4 linked regions of the Rattus norvegicus genome follow. The protein of the gene in region 3 interacts with the protein of the main gene of each other region in a pairwise test. Links are inferred from orthologs where the notes say so. Each region holds a gene or a part of one and is shown on either strand. Other genes may lie near its edges.

Evidence for each region. The genes of interacting proteins can lie anywhere in the genome.
Region 1: the proteins of Golga2 (region 3) and Tcea2 interact in binary tests that used the Homo sapiens proteins (3 or more experiments, as listed by UniProt). The two-hybrid records come from large-scale screens. The link is inferred for Rattus norvegicus from reciprocal best matches to the Homo sapiens genes GOLGA2 and TCEA2.
Region 2: the proteins of Golga2 (region 3) and Glyctk interact in binary tests that used the Homo sapiens proteins (3 or more experiments, as listed by UniProt). The two-hybrid records come from large-scale screens. The link is inferred for Rattus norvegicus from reciprocal best matches to the Homo sapiens genes GOLGA2 and GLYCTK.
Region 4: the proteins of Golga2 (region 3) and Zfp488 interact in binary tests that used the Homo sapiens proteins (3 or more experiments, as listed by UniProt). The two-hybrid records come from large-scale screens. The link is inferred for Rattus norvegicus from reciprocal best matches to the Homo sapiens genes GOLGA2 and ZNF488.

The regions. Positions count from the first base shown.
Region 1 is NC_086021.1:189,175,757-189,180,349, forward strand, and holds part of Tcea2 (transcription elongation factor A protein 2), read left to right. Parts: intron 1-869; coding exon 870-932; intron 933-1,247; coding exon 1,248-1,353; intron 1,354-2,118; coding exon 2,119-2,209; intron 2,210-3,490; coding exon of another isoform or gene 3,491-3,505; coding exon 3,506-3,636; intron 3,637-3,906; coding exon 3,907-3,963; intron 3,964-4,319; coding exon 4,320-4,474; intron 4,475-4,549; coding exon 4,550-4,593. UniProt on the Homo sapiens protein: Necessary for efficient RNA polymerase II transcription elongation past template-encoded arresting sites.
Region 2 is NC_086026.1:115,674,700-115,679,160, reverse strand, and holds the end of Glyctk (glycerate kinase), read left to right. Parts: intron 1-62; 5' UTR 63-101; coding exon 102-478; intron 479-684; coding exon 685-836; intron 837-1,425; coding exon 1,426-1,601; intron 1,602-1,903; coding exon 1,904-2,770; 3' UTR 2,771-3,090; downstream 3,091-4,461.
Region 3 is NC_086021.1:35,994,546-35,999,985, forward strand, and holds part of Golga2 (golgin subfamily A member 2), read left to right. Parts: intron 1-1,138; coding exon 1,139-1,197; intron 1,198-1,467; coding exon 1,468-1,609; intron 1,610-2,127; coding exon 2,128-2,217; intron 2,218-2,325; coding exon 2,326-2,433; intron 2,434-2,577; coding exon 2,578-2,665; intron 2,666-3,000; coding exon 3,001-3,338; intron 3,339-3,581; coding exon 3,582-3,695; intron 3,696-4,144; coding exon 4,145-4,390; intron 4,391-4,469; coding exon 4,470-4,545; intron 4,546-4,710; coding exon of another isoform or gene 4,711-4,746; coding exon 4,747-4,829; intron 4,830-5,024; coding exon 5,025-5,243; intron 5,244-5,326; coding exon 5,327-5,429; intron 5,430-5,440. UniProt on the Homo sapiens protein: Peripheral membrane component of the cis-Golgi stack that acts as a membrane skeleton that maintains the structure of the Golgi apparatus, and as a vesicle thether that facilitates vesicle fusion to the Golgi membrane.
Region 4 is NC_086034.1:9,289,058-9,294,497, reverse strand, and holds the end of Zfp488 (zinc finger protein 488), read left to right. Parts: intron 1-2,565; 5' UTR 2,566-2,676; coding exon 2,677-3,693; 3' UTR 3,694-5,212; downstream 5,213-5,440. UniProt on the Homo sapiens protein: Transcriptional repressor. Plays a role in oligodendrocyte differentiation, together with OLIG2. Mediates Notch signaling-activated formation of oligodendrocyte precursors.

The DNA.
Region 1 (4,593 bases), about 150 Mb from region 3:
GCTAATCTTGAGTTCACTCTGAGACTCAGATAAGCTTTGAACTTTTGATCCTCTTGCCCCAGCCTCCTAAGTATCTAAGATGATAAGGCCTGTGTCACCAGGTTTGGTAGTTTTCAATTAGCAATAATTGTGCCTCTGATAAACCTCATTGGCTATGGTGCTGTAACTTTGCAAATCTGGCTAGAGCAGAGATTCCTGAGAGTTTAGGTAGAGAGTTTTAGGTAGGGACAGGAAGAACCTGCCCACTCTGGAGGTGCAGCCTATCTGCAGATGCTGAAGAAAAGCCAGGGCAGAGGTTTGTCTGTTACAGTGCCCGGGAATAGTGCCACACTGATGGCTAGGCACTTTGAGGAGAGCCTGCTCTGCCACCATGGCATAGGTGGACTAAGGTTAAGGAACCTGAGTGTCCTTCCATGTCGAGCAGGAACTGGGGCTTTTCTTTTTCTCTAGTAGCTTGTTCAGTGTCCTCCTGTGGTTACCATGATGTCTGGAGATCAGCATAGATGCAGGGTGAGAAACCACCTGATGTTTGAGGACAGCATGGTCGGGCTGTTTGTCTCTATCCTTGCCCTATGGCAAGATCAGTAAAAAGCCCCTGCTGTGATGTTGGAACAAGTATGCAATGCTCTGGGAATCTCAGTTGTCCCACATGTGATCAGAACGAGGTGGGGTTGTCCACTAAGCCTCCCAACTAGTGTTCTCTGTGTAGTCCTGACCATCCTGGAACTCACTCTGTAGGCTAGGCTGGCCTTGAACTCAGAGATTCACCAGCCTCTGCGTCCTGAATGCTGGGATTAAAGACATGTACCACCATTACCCAGCATCCACTAAGGTTTAAAGTCCTTTATGGATGTCCATTTTCCTTCTAGGAGGGAGCCATGGATTTGCTGCGGGAGCTGAAGAATATGCCTATTACATTGCACTTGCTCCAGGTAAGTGTTTCTGTCCTGATTTAGGATGGTTCCGGAGACAGCAATTCCAGGGGCATCCAGCAGGGCTCCCTATGGCTTAAGTACCACCTGGCATAACTGCCACAAACAACTCTTCTAAGGAGAGGATTTCTGATTCTCTCTGGTGATCAGGGAGGTGGGAGGTAGGTACCCTGGGTTCCAAAAAGCCATTGGGAGAGATGTTTTCTGTCCCTGCCCATTCCCCAGCTGTTGACTGTGGGAGCCAAGAGTCCTTGATGAGGATTTGCCTCTGGAACAGGCCCCTACCACCTCTGACTCAGGCCACTTGCCTTGCAGTCCACCCGTGTTGGGATGTCTGTCAACGCTCTGCGGAAGCAGAGTTCAGACGAGGAGCTCATTGCACTTGCCAAGTCCCTCATCAAGTCCTGGAAGAAGCTCTTGGGTGAGTCTCAGAATGTAAAGGGCAGCTCTTGCTGGTCAGCACAGCATAGAGTGCTGGCTCTGCTGTCCTGATTGAAGCTATATGTAGTGGGATAGGACAGACATAGATCAGAAAGTACCCATCCCTGGCCTGGAAGTGGATGGAGATGATGGAAGGCATCTGTTGTGATGGGGAGGTGACGGCCTGCGAGGCAGGATCATTGAGACAAGGGAACATGCTGAAGAGGAGGTTTTCAAGCTGCAGGAGGCCAACAGAAAAGGAGGTCCAGGTCAGGATGCTCCAGCTGAAGGAAGAGGAGGTGGGACTTTACGAGAGGTGAACTAGGCAGACAACAACTGATTCTGGGGACAGCGGACAGCTAGGCTGCAGAGATTGTCCTTTTGATTAGGAGGGTAGCCTTCCTTGGTTCTGTCTACTTCTGTGAGACAACCCAGGGCCTACCCCTCTTTACAGTCACATGCCCTGGTCCCTAGTTTAGGCTTTGGGCAAGGTCCTGCCTATGTTTTCACAAGGAACCTTGTGTGAGGCATATGCTTGTTTTTTTTGGCTGGGCTGGGCCTTGATGAGTTGCACAACAGCTTGCTTGGGGAGGCTGGGTCCTAAAGGGGCTGGTGGACTGGCTGGGGACCAGTAGGAAGGTCTGGTAGCCTCCTGGCATCTTGCCTGTCAAATAGCTTTAAGCAGAAAGGATAATGGCGAGACTGAGGCTGGCCCCTCACCTGGCTGCCTGACCAGTCTGCACCATCTGTTTTCTGATAATGGCAGATGTTTCTGATGGCAAATCCAGGGATCAAGGGAGGGGCACACCTTTGCCTACATCGTCCTCAAAGGATGCCTCAGGGACTACGGATCTCAGGTAGCATATCTGAAGGCAGGTACATACATTTATGCCTCTTGACTCAGTTTCCTCAGTGGGAAAGGAGGCTGGTGTCCATTTGCCTGGTTACTGCCCTGAGGGACGTTTCCTCTCCAGGGTGAGATTTACAAGGTTTGTTAGCCTCATGCTGGATACTGTTGCACTGCTCAGTTCCCTTCCTGCCCATCTGAGATGTCTGGCTGTGTCTGCCTGTCACTGGCATCATGGAGAGCTTCATCAAGGAGCTCCTATCCAACAGAGCTGGCCCAACCCCAGGCCCCCTTGCCTACTCCTCAAAACCTACCTTTTTGCTACTCATCAGGACTGGTGTTATGGGTCCCTTCATGCAAATGCCATCCGGAGCTAGAGGCGAGCTGGCTCCCCCGCCAAGCCCCTGGAGTTGAGGACTGAACCCAGGGCCAAGCGCTCTACCACTGAGCTAAATCCCCAACCCCTAGCTCAGCTCTTATCTCCACATTCATGTGGCAACACCATTGCTTTAAAGGTGGTTCGGGCAGCCCTGTTACCATGGAGACTAGGAGCACTAGTAGTAACAGACTATAGATGAGAGGCTACTTTGACCAGAGGCTGGGCAGAGGCCATGACAGGCTAAGCTCTGGACTCCAGTGTAGCATTCCTGATATGATGTTAATCCTGAGCTCAGTAAGTAGTACAGTTGATTTTGGTTCAGAAAACCACCTGAAACTGCTGCTTTCCAGAGGTGGTGTGAGGAAAGGGCCTGGTGGGCCCAGCAGACCTGAGGAAATCCTTGCCCAATTCAATGTTGGGTGGGGTCACCTGTGACATTAAGACTCAACTTTGGGTGACCTCCCACCTCATCTTTACTCCAGGCAACTAGAAGTATCTGCCTGGTTCTGCCATTAGCAGAGAAGTATTCACAGCATGGCCCATGTCTTGGGCCTCCTGGGAAGCACTCAGGAGGTAGCAAGAATATCTCATCCCATTTTGACCATGGAGTGTTGCTCAGACATTGACTGTGAGGGGCTGGCATCCACTTAGGGAGTGACTGTGGGCCTTCTGGCCAATATTGACCTGATGAGGAGGACATAACACGCAGGAATTCTAGGATGAACTAAAGAGATTAAGTAATTGGAGGTCTGTCAGGATAGCGCAAATGGACTTTGGAGATCAGCATGGCATCCATGTTTGCTTTCCTGGGGATCACCTGTGGCCTAGGGAAGGTCAGGGGACCTCCCCGAGGTATCATCAGCTACTGGAGATGTGCAACGGAGCTCAACTGGTTCAGACTGAGCCCAGCAGGCTTTGTCTCTCTAGCTGCAAGAAACCAGACCCACCTAGGACCTCATCCACTCCGAGGATCACCACATTTCCCCAAGTGCCCATCACCTGTGATGCTGTGCGAAACAAATGTCGTGAGATGCTGACTTTGGCCCTGCAAACTGACCGTGAGTACTACAAGGTCTGGATTTCGACTCTGTAGGTGGCCTGGGCCTCTGTCTGCTTCAGAGCTTGCTGCTGGAGAGACAGCTCTTCTCTTTAGCTCGCTGTGACCTAGCAGAGAGGCTAAGGTTTTTGAGGTCACCATAACATCTGTATGGTGGGAAATGTCTCCCTGGAATGCAAGTGTCCCGTTTAGCTTCTAGGGCTCTGTGCAAGCAGAGGGGTGGCAGTTGGAAAAAGATGGTGGGGGAAACAAGCGAGGCTCCCTCTTACAGACGACCACGTGGCTGTTGGTGTGAGCTGTGAGCATCTGTCATCTCAGATCGAGGAGTATATCCTTTGTGTAGGGTAAATGGTTAAGGGCTTCTGAGAGAGTCTATCGTCCACTGAGTTGTGCTTCTCTGGTAGCTATTGGACACAACTGGTAGGCTACCCAGTGCCCTTTCTGGGTGGTCCCTTGACCTTTTCTGGGCCATAAATGGGTAAGGGGCTATGACTACTTAGTAGATTTATCTGGGTCTCAAATAGGAGTGGGCCTAGAGAAGGCAGAACACTATAGACCCTTGGGTCCCCCACAGGTCTTGAGTGGGTAGACTCCTCTCCATGAGCCTGGGAAGAACATTTCCCATATGACTACCAGGAGGGGGAGGAGCTCAGAAACCTCAGATGGGTCCTTAAATACCTGCACGCATCTTCCTGGATGTGGGAAACACTGACATGAAGTACAAGAACCGTGTTCGGAGCCGAATCTCTAACCTGAAAGATGCCAAGAACCCTGGCCTACGCCGGAATGTGTTGTGTGGTGCCATTACACCCCAGCAGATAGCTGTGATGACATCAGAGGTAAGCTCTCCTGGAAGGGCTGGGGCCGGCTGTCTCTACAGAGCTGTGGGCTGCATACGTCACCTTTTTTATCAGGAGATGGCCAGTGACGAGCTGAAGGAGATCCGCAAGGCTATGAC
Region 2 (4,461 bases), on a different chromosome or scaffold from region 3:
AGAGGGGTGGCTGCGATGGTGGGGTTCTGTCTGTGGTCTCACTCCTTCTTTTCCCTTTCTAGGCAGCTATGGATGCAAGGCTGTGCTGAGAGAAGCGGGGCATGGCTGCAGCCCTACAGGTCTTGCCCTGTCTCCTCCGAGCCCCGTCACGGCCATTCCTCTGGGGGCCCCCGGTGGCCCGGATGACCAGTGGTATGGCCTTGGCAGAACAGGCACGGCAGCTGTTTGATAGCGCTGTGGGTGCTGTGCAGCCAGGCCCCATGCTGCAGAGGACACTGTCCTTGGATCCTAGTGGCAAACAACTGAAGGTGAGGGACCGGACCTTTCAGCTACAAGAAAACCTCTACCTAGTGGGCTTCGGCAAGGCCGTACTGGGTATGGCTGCTGCAGCTGATGAGCTACTGGGCCAGCATCTTGTGCAGGGTGTTATCAGCGTACCCAAGGGGATCCGAGCTGCCGTGGAGCTTGCCGGAAAGCAGTAAGAATCTATGGGGACAGGGAATGCCCTCTACTGTCCTTTGGAGGAAAACCTCCCTTCCTCTTGACCTCCCTATCTCCTGGGTCTGGCCTGGTTTCAAAGTAGGTATCAGTGGGCCACTTTCACCTATGCAGCTGCAGCTGAGAAGTCAGGTGGGAGGAGAGGAGCCCACCCCATCTCTTCTCCCTTGTTTGCCCCCTTCTCAGAGAGATGCTGCTGAAGCCACACAGCCACATCCAGGTGTTTGAGGGCGCCGAGGACAACTTACCGGATCGGGATGCACTTCGGGCCGCTCAGGCCATCCAGCAGCTGGCAGAGAGGCTCACTGCCGACGACCTGCTGCTTGTGCTCATCTCAGGTGTGGCTCATCTCAGGGGACAGCTGACAGGGATGTCCCCGTGCCGGGTGGTCACAGGGTGAAGTCGGGACCAAGGGAGACACTGAGGAACCTGGAGGGTACCTTGTGGGTAGTGTCGGGTCAGTCATCCATCCTCAGCTGTAAGTTTGCCCTCCCGAACATTCTGTAGTGGTGAAGGCACAGCCGGGTACTTAACACTAAACTACATCAGAACCTTTGGAGAACATTGCTGTCTGGAAGAGTATCACTCAGGCTCCCGAAGCTGGTTTCCAGCCCCCACTCAACTCTCTCCTTGTGTATCTGCTGTTTTTTCTTGTTCTTCCTTAGCTTTAAATTTTAAATTTATTTATTTATTTATTTGTTTGTTTATTTTGTGGTACTGGGGATTGAGTTCAGAGCTTCACACAGGTTAGGCAAGCATATCCCAGCCCTTCTGGGATCTGGTGGACCCTAGGTAGGGGGCACAACTTCACTCTGTGTCCACAAGGGGGCACTGCAACCCCACCTTCTTAGACCACTTCCCTTGTGGCCTGTCTGGTTCTCTGTGAAGGGCTGTCTCCTCTCCCTGACACCCTCACTGACTCTGCAGGTGGGGGCTCAGCCCTGCTGCCCGCTCCTATCCCACCTGTCACACTAGAGGAGAAACAGACGCTCACCAAGCTGCTGGCGGCCCGAGGAGCCACAATCCAGGAGCTGAACACGATCCGCAAGGCCCTGTCCCAGCTGAAGGGTGGAGGGCTGGCTCAGGCCGCCTACCCTGCTCAGGTGCTCTAATCACTTCTTCAGTCAGCCCTGTGTTCCCAACATGTGAGGGGGAGATGAGAGCTTATCTTAGAACGTAGGAATTGGCAGGGGCCTCGTCTGGAAAGTCCTGGGAGGAAGCTGAAAGGGGGTAAGAGGGAGGCTCCCTGGTTAGGTGTTCTGCCAGCCCACCTGAAAGTGGCAGGAAGTGGGTAGATGTGGGCACGGAAGCATGCCAGGTGCTGTATACCCAGGGTCAGTTTGTCCTTTAGGGCCCTGGGACATGGAGGTGCGACTCTGAACCTCATTCTGTGGCCTTTGTCTAGGTGGTAAGCCTCATCTTGTCAGATGTGATCGGGGACCCTTTGGAGGTGATTGCCAGTGGCCCTACAGTGGCCAGCACCCACAGTGTGCAAGATTGCCTGCATATTCTTAATCACTATGGTCTCCGTGCTGCTCTGCCACGCTCTGTGAAGACCGTGCTCTCTCGGGCTGACTCTGATCCCCACGGACCACATACCTGTGGTCACGTCCTCAATGTGATCATCGGCTCTAATTCTCTGGCCCTGGCCGAGGCTCAGCGGCAAGCTGAGGTCCTGGGCTACCACGCCATGGTGTTGAGCACAGCCATGCAGGGTGATGTAAGACGTGTGGCTCAGTTCTATGGGCTGCTAGCCCGGGTGGCTGCAGCCTGCCTCACTTCATCCACAGCTGAGCGTCCCTTGGAGGAGGAGGCAAAACTCCATCAGCTGGCAGCTGAGCTCCAGCTCCCGGACCTGCAGCTGGAGGAGGCTCTGGAAGCTGTGGCAAAGGCTAAAGGGCCAGTCTGCCTCCTGGCTGGCGGGGAGCCCACCGTGCAGCTGCAGGGATCTGGCAAGGGCGGTCGGAACCAAGAACTGGCCCTGCGTGTGGGAGCAGAGCTGGGAAAGCAGCCACTGGGGCCTGTTGATGTGCTGTTCTTGAGTGGAGGCACTGATGGGCAGGACGGGCCTACAAAGGTGGCCGGGGCCTGGGTCATGTCTGACCTTGTTAGCCAGGCTTCTGCTGAAAACCTGGATTTTGCCACCTTCCTCGACAACAATGACTCGTACACGTTCTTTTGCAGCTTCCAGGGTGGAACACATTTGCTGCATACAGGGTTGACGGGAACCAATGTCATGGATGTCCACCTCCTGGTTTTTCATCCTCAGTGATGGCATAGCTCACAGTCTGAGAGTTTATAAGAGGCCTTCAAGGGCAGGGTCTGGTAGGAAGACAGAGGACTGATTCCCAGGGCCCATTGTGCTTTAGGAAGCCCTCCTCTGTTGCTCCACCCACCTCCCACAGATCTACTCCATGTTTGTTCCCCCAACTAGATTAGAAGATGGGGGTTCCTTTACACCCCTCTTTTCTGTCATGTCAGCAGGAAGCTTCTGGGCCAGTTCACAGTTCTGCCCATGCCCTCAGCCTGTTTCTTCCATGGCGCAAAGGTAGGGAGACTGAAAATAAAGAGGACCATGTTGTGGGAATCTCAGTTCATCTTCCCTCAGTGCCTCTTCTGTAACACAGACCTTCGGGGGCTGCTGGGGCACGTGACGTGGTCCTAGCATTGGTGCCAGCACCTTGCAGAGTTTCTCACGCTGTTACGGGAGTCTGTGACGATTGAATCTGGCGTCTGGCAGCCTCATGTGGGTGAGCAGGACAGGCTTATCGTCGCCTGCTTAACCATGACTCCCTGTGGCAACCTGGTCATGGTGTCTCCTCTCCGGCTGTAGCCTGGCTGGGTGGAAAGGATCTACTTGCCACCAAGGATCTTCCTTCTGTATTTGGACCACTCTTTGCTTTCCCCCTTACCCCCTGGTTATCAAGGGTCTTCTTCAGGCTGCAGGGCATTGAACTTGCTCTCCTGTGTCCCCTTTTCCCAGGCTAAACATGCCACGTTCCAGGGCCGCTCCTCTGGGCCCTGGTGCCAGCATTTCAGTGAGTGTCTCGAGCACTAGAATGGTAGGTCAGAGCGCTGAAGGAGCTCAGCAGTCCCTCAGCCCATCCTGTCATAGCTGGCAGAGGTGAGTCACTTGGCTTGGCCTGCAGCCACTGGCCTGGTTTGCCTTGTGCCCTCTTGTTCCACATCAGAGCCCTCTGTTGGCTACCCTCACCGTGCGCCACGGCTCCAATCCCTATATGAGCGAGCAATAGTATCACATAGGAATAAAAAGCCATAGAGAACAGTGAGGACTGGGGCGGTCCCTGAGGGTGCGCAGGCCTCTAGGTCAGAGCTGATGTGTCCTGGGAAGGGCCTCCTTCTCCACTGGGCCCTGGACAGTCTGGCTAGCAGTTGGGCCCCATGGTTTGCAGACCTGGCTCCTGTGTGTTCCCCAGATTGAGAAGGAGGTAAGCAAGGTAAGCCAGCTCTGAGGACCAGATAGGTTTAGGGAAGTGGAGTGGTGAGTACCATTTTCTTTCCTTCTGTTCCGTGCAGAGGGTCAGTGTCTCAGAGGATTTTCTCTTTACACTGGTGTTCTGGAATCCTGTAGGAGTTGCTGTCCCTGTGTCCTTGACCTCGGGAATGTATTCCTACTGGACGTTGAGCTGCAGGTGAGAACTTCAAGAGAGGAGCTTTTCAGTCACATCGATGTCTCTGTGTGGTGACCATGTGAGCCCTGGACACTGGTGTCACAATACATCCGTAGTGTACCCATGGGTGCTTTTCAGAGTAGGGCTGCTTTTGGGGACTGCTGCCACCATTGCCTGCTGAGGGCTGTGCATATAGGCAGAGTCTTGATGGAAGCTCCCCTTATCTGACTTGGTCCCTTTCCCGTAACCATGCTTTCAGAGTCTGGGGGCCAGGGTCTGAATTGGGCCCCATTAGAGCAAACGGTTTGTGGGCTTAGTCTACTGTATTTGC
Region 3 (5,440 bases):
CCTGAGTTCAATTCCCAGCAACCACATGGTGGCTCACAACCATCTGTAATGGGATCCGATGCCCTCTTCTGGTGTGTCTGAAGAGAGTGACAGTGTACTCATATAAATAAAAACAAATAAATCTTAAAAAAAAAAAAACAAAACAAAGGAAAGGCAGTACTAGTGAGGTGGTGGTGGCCCACACCTTTGATATCAGCACTCTGGAGGCAGAGGCAGCGAATCTCTGCAAATTAAACAGCCTGCTGTATATAGAGAGACCCTGTCTCAAAAAGTAAAAAAAAAAAAGTAGTAGTATAAGTGGTAGTTGTAATAGTAACAGCAACAACAGGAGTGAGGCAGATGGAGTGGCACATACCTGTCACTTGGAAGAAAGAAGCAGGAAGAGGTGGGGTTAAAGGCCAGTTTCATCTTCATGAGACTGTGTTTCATAAAACCATGCGTCACTGGGCAAGGCGACACGTGTCTGTAATCTCAGCACTGGGGAGACTGAGACAGGAGGGTTCAAGGCCAGCTTGTAAATTCTAGGCTTACCTGGATCCCTCAGACTGTATTTAGGAAGAGAGAAAAAGGAGAGCTTTAAAAGAGAGCTAGTGTGTTGTTGGTCAGTCATAGAGCAATTGCCTGACCTATACACGGGCTTGAGTTTGATCCCAGCCTTGCAAAAATAATATATGATTAATTAAAAACAAAAGCAGAGCTAGAGAGATGGCAGGGTGAGCAAGAGCACTGGCTCTCCATCAGAAGAGTGTTCGATTCCCAGTAGCCACGTGGTGCTTCACAACTGTCTGTAACTCACGCTTGTGGAGCACAGACATATGTAGACAGAACACCACTCCGTATAAATAAGTAGAACAAAGCAACCCTGAAGACTGTGACCTCTGGTCCCAGCTACTGGAGAGGCTGAGCCCTCTCAGCCCAGGAGGTTGAAGCCATCTTAGATAACATAGTGTCACCCCATCTTAAAAACAAAACAAACGGACAGAATCACAAAGGAGACAGAAATGTAGAAATGCCTTGGGAAAATGCCAAGTGTGATTAGGAAGAGGAATTGTCACTGGAGAATATCACCAGGCCGTTGGTGTTGTGCCAGCGGCTGCTTCAGCCTTTCATGTCCAAACTCTGCTTTCTCTGTCTGCAGTACAACAAGGACCTAACCAAAGAGCGAGACGCCCTCAAGCTGGAGCTATACAAGAATGGGTAAGAATGGGAAGGCGGCTGGGCTCTCTGCAGCCTCAGTGTGGAGAGTGGAGACTCAGCCCAGACAGGCTTGGGTTTGTGTAGAGCTGAGCTCTGGTCCCAGCCATGCTCCTGACTCATGGTGTGGTCCCAGGTAACTCAGTCTCTGAGGCCTGTCGCTTGTGACTCAGTGCTCTGTCCTGTGGTGCTGTGGCAGGACTCACACATCACTCTGAAATGGGCTCCTTTCTGTTCTTGATTCCTTCCTTTCCACCTTGCCACTGGCCCCAGCAAAAGTAATGAGGACCTGAGGCAGCAGAACTCAGAACTGGAAGAGAAACTTCGAGTCCTGGTGGCAGAGAAAGCAGCTGCACAGTTGGGGGCAGAGGAGCTGCAGAAGAAGTTAGAGATGTCAGAGCTGCTGCTGCAACAGGTGAGAAGTGCAGCCCTCACCCCTAAGGCCCAGGCACAAAGTCTGTGGCTCCTTGGGGGTGACCTGCGGCCAAGTATGGACAGTTTGGAACCTCCTCCTGTCCTGTGCTGATGCTGTTTACTAATTGCTCAGTGGAGCCCCCGCCACACCTGTGAATCAGAGTCTTAGTGAGGGTGATGTGGCTGTTGGATCCTTACTTTATTTATTTATATTATTGTTGAGACAGTCTTATCAGTAGCCCAGGGTGACCTGTAACTTACCAGGTAAGCCTTGAACTCATGGTAATCCTCCTACCGTAGCCTTCCAAGTGGGAGGTTGTAGGCATGAGCCACTAGGCCTGCTGAAATGCCAGCGTTCTGTTTCATTTAAATGGCCCAACAGGAGTCTGCTTAGCTTTTCCTGACACTTTCTCCTATGGCAATGACCCTGGGTTGTCATCCTAGCTCACACTCTTGTGGGGAGCACTTCAGCAGAACAGCATAGGCTCCCAGATCTAAGCCCTCCTTTCCCTCATGCAGTTCTCTAGCCAATCTGAGGCTTCTGGCAGTAATGAGCAGTTGCAACAGGCCATGGAGGAGCGGGCTCAGCTGGAGAGCCATGTTGGCCAGGTGAGGATCTGTGGGGGGAGGGGAAGGGCATGATCCCCCCTCCCCCCGCAATGGCCCTTGGTGAGGACCTGTGACAGCCCTTCATAACTCGTATATTGACTGATGCAGCTGATGGAGTCACTGAAACAGCTCCAGGTGGAGAGAGACCAGTACGCAGAGAACCTGAAAGGAGAGAGTGCCATGTGGCAGCAGAGGGTACAGCAGATGGCAGAGCAGGTGAGGCCTGGCCTCTGGAGTCTTCGCTCTTCCTGGGCATCAGTGTCGTGGAGCTGAGGGCTTAGGGGCTTCAGTTTTGCAGAGGTGGGACTGGGGATGGGTGGGCCTGGGATCTCCAGCACCCCCACCCTGTGCCTTGGGCAGGTGCACGCACTGAAGGAAGAGAAGGAGCAGAGAGAAAGTCAGGTACAAGAGCTGGAGGCCAGCTTGGCTGAACTCAGGAGTCAGATGGGTGAGTAGGGCAAGGGTGACCTGAGAGCAGGAGTGGGTCGAGGAGCCATGAAGGTGGCTTCCATTGCCCAGGGGGGCAGGTGGGTGTAAGGGCATTGTAATGGGGGCAAAGGGTCTCTGCCAGGACGAGGTGACAAGCCTTGTCATCTCTCTGAGCATGTGCCTTTCTGTGCAAAACAGGGTGGCATGCCTACTACTACACCTCAGCAGGTGACTGAGCATCCCAGATCTGTGCTAGAGTGGCTTGAAACACTTGCCTCATCTGAGACCCTGACAGAAAAGAAGCCAAGGCTTAGGGCAGGGAGCCTGACTCACAGTGCCTGCTTCCTTTCTCAGAGGAGCCACCACCTCCAGAGCCTCCAACTGGGCCTTCAGAGGCCGAAGAGCGGCTGCAGGGAGAGGTTGAGCAGCTGCAGAAGGAACTGGAGGGTCTGACGGGTCAGCTGCGGGCCCAGGTGCAGGACAATGAGAGCCTGAGCCACCTGAACCGGGAGCAGGAGGGACGGCTGCTGGAGCTGGAGCGCGAGGCCCAGCACTGGAGCGAGCAGGCAGAGGAGCGCAAGCAGATCCTGGAGAGCATGCAGAGTGACCGCACCACCATCAGCAGAGCGCTGTCACAGAATCGCGAGCTCAAGGAGCAGCTGGCTGAGCTGCAGAACGGCTTCGTCAGGCTGGTGCGGAGCCTGCAGGCCCTCCTTGCTTACAGGGAACACACTCACCCCTTTTGGTCAGCACCGGCAGAGGATGGGGTGCTGTCCGCCTCACGTTAGGTGGTAGTGGTGAAGGCACCCCACAATCCCGAGCCCTAGGGTGTGTGGGAATGATCCAGCAGCCTTCCCTACTCTGAGAGGGAGTACACATGCAATTCTGGGGACTCCAGCCACATTAGGTCCTACTGACTGTTGCTTTCTGTCCAGACAAATGAGAACATGGAGATTACCAGTGCGTTACAATCAGAGCAGCATGTCAAGAAAGAGCTGGCCAGGAAGCTGGGAGAGCTTCAGGAGAGGCTGGGAGAGCTGAAGGAGACGGTAAGGCCTACTACATGTGGTGTTGGCCACCAGACCTGGGGAGGGTGGGTGCAAGGCCCATCACAGATTAGCCACAGCCTGGAACAGGTATCCCTGGACTGCTCTCTATCCAGGAGCTGCCCTTTTATAGTCGTTGTCCTTTTATGCAGGGCTCTGGGTTCAGGCTGGATTCACACCCATGTGTTCAAGTGCTTCCCATCTCCAAACCTAGTCACTGAAGTTAAAAGATGAGTTTTCTCATAGAGGTGTTAAAGGTTTAATGAGAAAATGTGCATAAAATAACGGGTACTAGTAGGTTTGTGCAGAACAGAATGGGTTAGTTCCATCTGCTTTTCCACTCTTGGGGCCTAAAGGAGTGAGAAAGGTGACTATGTGAGGCTGGGTACAAAGGCAGGCGCTCAGGCCGTGGCAGCCAGCACTGCCTGCCCTCAGCCCTAGCCTTCCTGCAGGTGGAGCTGAAGAGCCAAGAAGCACAGGGTCTGCAGGAGCAGCGAGACCAGTGCCTGTCCCACCTGCAGCAGTACGCTGCCGCCTACCAACAGCACTTGACAGCCTATGAGCAGCTGACCTCTGAGAAGGAGGCACTGCACAAGCAGCTTCTGCTGCAGACACAGCTCATGGACCAGTTGCAGCATGAGGAAGTTCAGGGCAAGATGGCAGCCGAGATGGCCCGCCAGGAGCTGCAGGAGGCACAGGTGAGGCAGCTGTTAAGACTGGGCCCAGGGGGAGGATCTGGCCACCTCTGTCCCTTCTCATTCTCTCCTGGCCCCTTAGGAGCGCCTAAAAGCTAGCAGCCAGGAGAACCAACAGCTCCAAGCCCAGCTGAGCCTCTTGGTCCTCCCTGGGGAAGGTAAGACCACCCAGGAGGAGAGGACTAGAGTTGATGTATTTGGAGCAGCTTTGATTGGGCATTTTCTAGTCACTGGCTGGTCCTAGGGTAGAGAGTGGGGATGCAGGGGTGGGGCTCTGAGCTCTCCTCCCCCAGCCCACTCTGTCTACCTGCTGGGATTATTAGAGGAGACAGCCTACAGCAACTGTCTGCCCCCAGGAGATATGGACCAGGAGGAGCAAGACGAGGAGGTTCCTCAGCCCAGTCTGACCATCCCAGAAGACCTTGTCAGTAGAGAGGCTATGGTGAGCTGGGCTCTGCTTGCCCTTCTCTTTTCTACCTCTGTGGTCCTTGGTTTCCTGCCCTCTGATTTCTTTTGATTACCACTTTGTGCTTGGGAGCCAGTGGTTAGTCTCCCATCTGGGAACTGGTGCTCCCTCTCTCCCTGCCCACTTTGCCCTGAATGTTTCCCTGAGAGGCACACCTCCCTCTGTGTGCAGGTGGCCTTCTGCAATGCAGCGATAGCCAGAGCTGAGGAAGAGCAGGCCCGACTCCGCGTGCAGCTGAGAGAGCAGAAGGCACGTTGCCGGAGCTTGGCTCACTTGGCAGCCCCAGTCCAAAGCAAGCTTGAAAAGGAGGCAGTGGTCCCCAGGGATATGGGTGACTCTGTATCTGAGGAGAGCAACCAGGCCCTACATGTAGCCATGGAGAAGCTGCAGGTGAGTTTGTCTGTTGGGGCTGGGAGGGAGGGGACCAGCCGGGGCTCCTGAGTCCCTGAGCCCTCTCTCTGTCTTGGCTCCAGAACCGCTTCCTGGAGGTCATGCAGGAGAAAGTGGAGCTCAAGGAGCGGGTGGAGGAGCTTGAACATTGCTGTATCCAGCTTTCTGGGGAGACAGACACTATTGGTGAGGCAAGG
Region 4 (5,440 bases), on a different chromosome or scaffold from region 3:
TTCCGGGTCACTCTGGCGTAGGGTGGGTCACTCCGGCATAGGGTAAGCTTTTCTAGCGATGAAAACTGTAGAATGCAGCTCCAGTCAGCATTGTGGCTCTGCCAGTATTCTGCAAGGAGATGGCTAGGTTCCCTTTCTTAGTTTTAAATCCAGATGACTAGGCCAATGATCAGGCAGTGTTCAAGCCTTGCTCCACCATCCCCTCAGAGAGCTTCATCTTCAATGTGCCTCCCTCACAGAATGTTGTTCCTTCTAGACCATGGCCCCTCCAGGGCATGGACAGAAGCCAGTTCACATGTAGATGCTCAGGGGTTTGATACAAGTAGACAGTTGACATGGGTAGAGGAGGAATGAGTGGGTTTAGTTGTGGAGCGAGTGGGTCTGGTGAGTGGAGACCAGGGAGACTGGAGCTCTAGACAGAAACAAGGCCAGGAGGAGAGTGGACTGTGCTCAATGTGATGTAAAGGCCCGAGAGCCCACATCCACCCTGCCAAGTGTTCCTCCAGCCCTCTGGCCACTTGTGCCTATAGAAGTTCCTGTCCCTCAGTACCTGAAGTGGCCTAGCATACCTGACAACAAGAATTAAAATCAGCATGCCAACCAGCGGGGGAAACTCAGCCCGGGTGAAAACATGTTAGGATGACCCAAGAAGGCAAGCTGGCAGGTGGTGCCGTTTACCCTGCTAATACAGAAGTGGCCACCCAATGCTCACACATGTGGGGATGGCGCCGAGCCACTGGTGCCACTGGATGGAAGCCTCCGTATGTGTGTTTGCTCCCACGTGTGCACACGTGAGCGTGTGTTGTGTTGACATTCTCCCTGAAAGAGTCCTGGAGGCACAGTCCCCAAGAGCTGGGTGAGGCTATCAGTTCTAGAACAGTCACAGTACTTAGGGTACAAGCAGCAAACATCAGCTGTGGCCAACACAGCAGAGAAGGAACTTATTAGATTATGGGGCAGGGAGGGTCCCGCCATCAGAGGGGCTGGCTGGAGACATGAACTGGAGAAAGACAGGAACTAAGTAGAAGTGTAGAACCCCAGTAACAGAAGCATATTAGACTTGGCTGTGAGGCAAGATGCTGGATTGCAGGCTGTCAAACATCGGCTCTATTGTCTGGCTTAGGAACCTTTTGGTCCTCACAGCACTTCCCGAGGGCTTGCCGTATGCCTCACCTGGGTGCCCTCTGGGGGCTATGGATTGCAGACACTGGCACAGGCCCTGTCTCCTGGGCCTGAGAGATCAGCAGGCTAGGAGAAGTGACATTCATCCAGCCCAGGGAAACCTGTACCCAGAGTCACAGCTGGACAATATTTTGACTAAGGTAGAGGAGGGCAGATGCTGACAGAAGCCATTCCTTTGCTTGATGAACAATCTCCTGAGGGAGCCTCAGGTCTGCACACTAGGGGACATCTGCAGTTTTCAAAGAAAATGGCGGTGAGTTATAGTTTCCACTGGGAGCCGAAGCCACTTCCAAGTCCCAGTTTAGTGATGAGCTCCCATAGTGTGGGAAGAACATCCATAGGATCCTGCAGTAGGATCGATCCCTCAGGAGTCTAGAGCTTTTGTCTTGTGCTTCTGCACCCCGCTGTGGCTGCCTGGTTACTGTAGGCACTTGTAACTGTGATCCTTCTGAAGCTTTCCTTTTGTGAATCAGAGAGTAGCCAGATCCAGGCGAGGTCAAAGCAGGGCCTCTCGGAAAAAGCCCTGAAGCTTCCCCACAACAAAGAGCTACCCTTCTTTCCTCTACCCCTGGCGTGGATGTCAAACCCCTAACTCCTAGGGGGGACTTGGGAAATGCTCCCTAGTGGGGACCAGAGTGGGAGAAAAGTGCATGAAACTCAGCAGCTGAGGCCACTGCGTGGTGTCAGCCAGTGCAGGGTCTACAGTGAAAAGCAGATCATGTATGCAGGCTTGGAAGGGAGTAGGGAAAATCTGGGACAAGGAATCTAAGATTGGTGCAGAGGGATCACGTGGAAGCAGGCAGGAGATGTGGAGAAATGTTAGTTTAGGAGACAGGGAAGAGAGAGAATGCTATGAGGAGCTGAGCTCACGAACGCACGAACCTTCCACACCATCACCGCCTGGTGCTGTGGCTCCCTAGTCTTTGAACACCGAGTCAGAGCCGGACGGAGATGCTGGAGACTGTGCACAGCTTCCTCCCCGCAGGGCCAGCTTGTTGCTGGGTGTCCAGGATCTCCTGTTTTCTGCCTCAGATCAGATCAGGCTCCCTTTCCTGTTCCTCCAGCCTCTGCGGCTTTGAGCCGGGCCTGGTTAATCACAGTAGCTGTTTTCTGTGGCTTCCCTGCCTTTTCCTGAACGGGGTCGTGACATATTATTCTTGTGCCATCGCTCCAAGGGTCTTTCTGGCAGGTACTGGTCTCTACCTGCTACTGGGGTCTATCTGAGCCACTCATCTTTTCTCTCCTTCTCTTTGGGACGACACCGTTCGCACTTCACAAACATCAATGTAAGGCTAGAGAAAGTGGGCTTCTCTGGTGTTGGTCTATATGGGATACTGAATGACCAGTGCCTGCCTCACTGTCTGTTATTTTTTCTTCCTGCAGAGATCAGCGGTCAAGTGCATCCAGTCCAGGCTTCACTGGGGACTTTCCTATCTCATAGCTCCTCCTGGGGGTAGGGACCAGCTCGTTGGAACCCCAAAGCCCTGTAGACAAATGGCTGCTGGAACATCCACCTTGCTTAGCCTGTCAGGCCCTACTGATCACATGGCTGAGGGCAAACGAGCTTCTCTGAGGCCTTCAGTTGAAAAGCGATGGAAGCTCATGGAACCCAAGCAGACCCAGCCGGGGATGCTCGAGAAAATGACCCTTGTGGACTCTGATGCTGCTGCTGCAGGAAAGGAGGGTCAAGATGCAGCCTACACGGACCTGAGCCTGTCAGCAGCACCAGACAAGCTCCAACCGGACAGGCCTCTGGCCTGCAAGGCGTGCACAGAGCAAAGGCAGAATACCTTCACAGAGCTGTCATGCCTCCAGGAGAGGCCAGGGGACATCCGGGCCCAGACAAGGAAGTCGGAGAACCCAGAAGGCCAGCTTGGCACTCAGCAGCTGCCCGTGAGTCTCCTCAGAGCCTCAGGTGATGGCACAGTGTGCCCGGTATGGCCAGGCGCAGCCCGGAGCGAGCAGAAAAGTGCTTTCAGAAAGCCAGCCAAGCGCCCAGCGGAGAAATCTAAGTGCTCCCCCATGCTTCTGGCTGTTGGAAGTGCAGACGACTCGTGGGAGCTCTCAGGACTCATCACCACTGTGGACATCCCATATTGGGCGCATCTGTCAACTTTCAAATTCATGGGTGATTTCTGGAAATTGCACACATTGTCACAGAACATTCTACTCTGCAATGCGTTCCAGGGGGCTCCTACACCATGGCTGGAGCACACCCAGGTGCAAGCACTCACATCCTCGGCATCTTCTGCCACAGCCTCTCGGGCTCTCTTGCCGCCCACGCTCTCCTCCCTGGGCTTGTCTACTCAGAACTGGTGTGCCAAGTGCAACCTGGCCTTTCGTCTGACAGCTGACCTGGTCTTCCACATGCGGTCCCATCACAAAAGGGAGCATGTGGGCCCCGATCCACATTCTAAGAAACGAAGAGAGGAAGTTCTCACTTGCCCCGTTTGCCATGAGGACTTCCGGGAGCGTCACCATCTTTCCAGGCATATGACTTCACATAGTTAGCATGTGGCAACGGAGAAAACTGATGTCCATAGTTTCCAGTAGGAAGTGGTAAGGCACAGGTGACTCCTGGCCTGTGCTAAGAAGGTTGTCAAAGACGTCTCCGAGACATTCCTTTTGCTTCCCAGAGATGAACAACTCAGTTATAATTCGTCACATGTCCCAGTCCTTGTGTTTTCCTGGAAAAATCAGGCATTAAAATGATAAGCTTCACTCACGGGATGGTAGGACCCATGGCTCAGGGAACAGGGCTGCTCCTGACTCTGTCCCTGGTACTCTGCAAGGAAGCACACAAGCATGACACCCTCGGCTTTGCTGGCAAGCAGGCCTGCATTCAACTTGGGCTTCCACTGTGAGCCCTGACCTTGGACATGCTCCTTCAACTCGGTGACCCTCCGTTTTCTTGTTTTGAAAGTGGTGTGATCGCAGGATGTCATCAGAGTACTGAGGAAGGTGTTGTTTGGATAGTGGCCGGCTTGCTCCCCAGTGCAATGTGAGCAGAAATCGTACGGATCATTGCTTGCACTAGCCAGCTACTTTATTCCTGAAATCTCAGGGGTGAACAAACATCGTGTTTCTCTGCAATAAGACTGGAGGTAGCGTGGCTTGGTGGACTCGGCTCAGGCTGCGTTGAAATCTAGGCCCTTTTGCTGCTGGATCATTATGCTGGATATGGCAAAGTCAGAGTGCAAAATGCCCAGAAAATGGGTCACAAGCCCAAGTTTCCCTGGGCCAACACAAATCCAGGCCTAAAGTGGCTGAGTGGACAAGTGGTCTGGCTTAAACCATAACGAAGGAGTGGGGGCTAGTAACTCCACCCCCCTGTTCTCTGGGTCTTCACACCATGAATGCGTGAGAAGAGAGAAACAGACACTTATTCTGCATGACCTCCAGGTGCCACCCTTCCTTGAGGTTCTGAGTAGGGCAGGAAAGAGCAACTGGAGAACACTCAGAATGAGGTACCCAGGAAGTACTTCATACCCTATCATCTACCCCCCAAAACGCTGCAGGACATAGACAGTGAATTGTCATCCTACTGCAGAGGAATTTAAACTTGGAAATGTTAATGACTTTCCCAGTGCCACTTAGTCAGGAGCACTGGCAGAAGAACAAAATCCCATGAACCCCCAGATCTGAGCTCATGTCTTGTTCAGCCTCTGCATGTCTGCTTAGCTAGCATGGTCACGGAGCATACTGAGGAACTTAGAGGCTGGTCTCCTTACGTTCGATTTCAACTTAACCTTGCTACTTTGCATGATGCACACATGCTCATGCATGTGCATGTGCTTGCACACACACACACACACACACACACACACACACACACACACACACACACCACTCTTCTCTTGAGCACTTTCCTCCATCCTGTATACTAAATAGCCTATCAATCTATTCTGTTCACTGTAGCTCTCCTCACAGGAATGAAAGGGAGTTTTTGGCATAGTTCCGTCATCTAGAACAACGCAGACATACAGTATCTGTTGAAAGAAAGAATAAACGTATAAGTTAATGAATGAATGATCTGCCTGACTCTGGCTTTGCTCCTGCCAACTCTTGAGTTGGCTTTGGGGAACAGGAGGTGGCCATCTGTGAAAAGCACATGCACGCTTACCTCGGGCTCATGCATTGGCCTGCGAGTTCTAGGCCGTCTCTTTGAAAGGGGACCAGTCCCGTCGCAGCATACAGGAGATGCTTAGAATTGATGTTGACACAACTTGGCTTGCAGCCGGATTTGCAAGTTCAAATG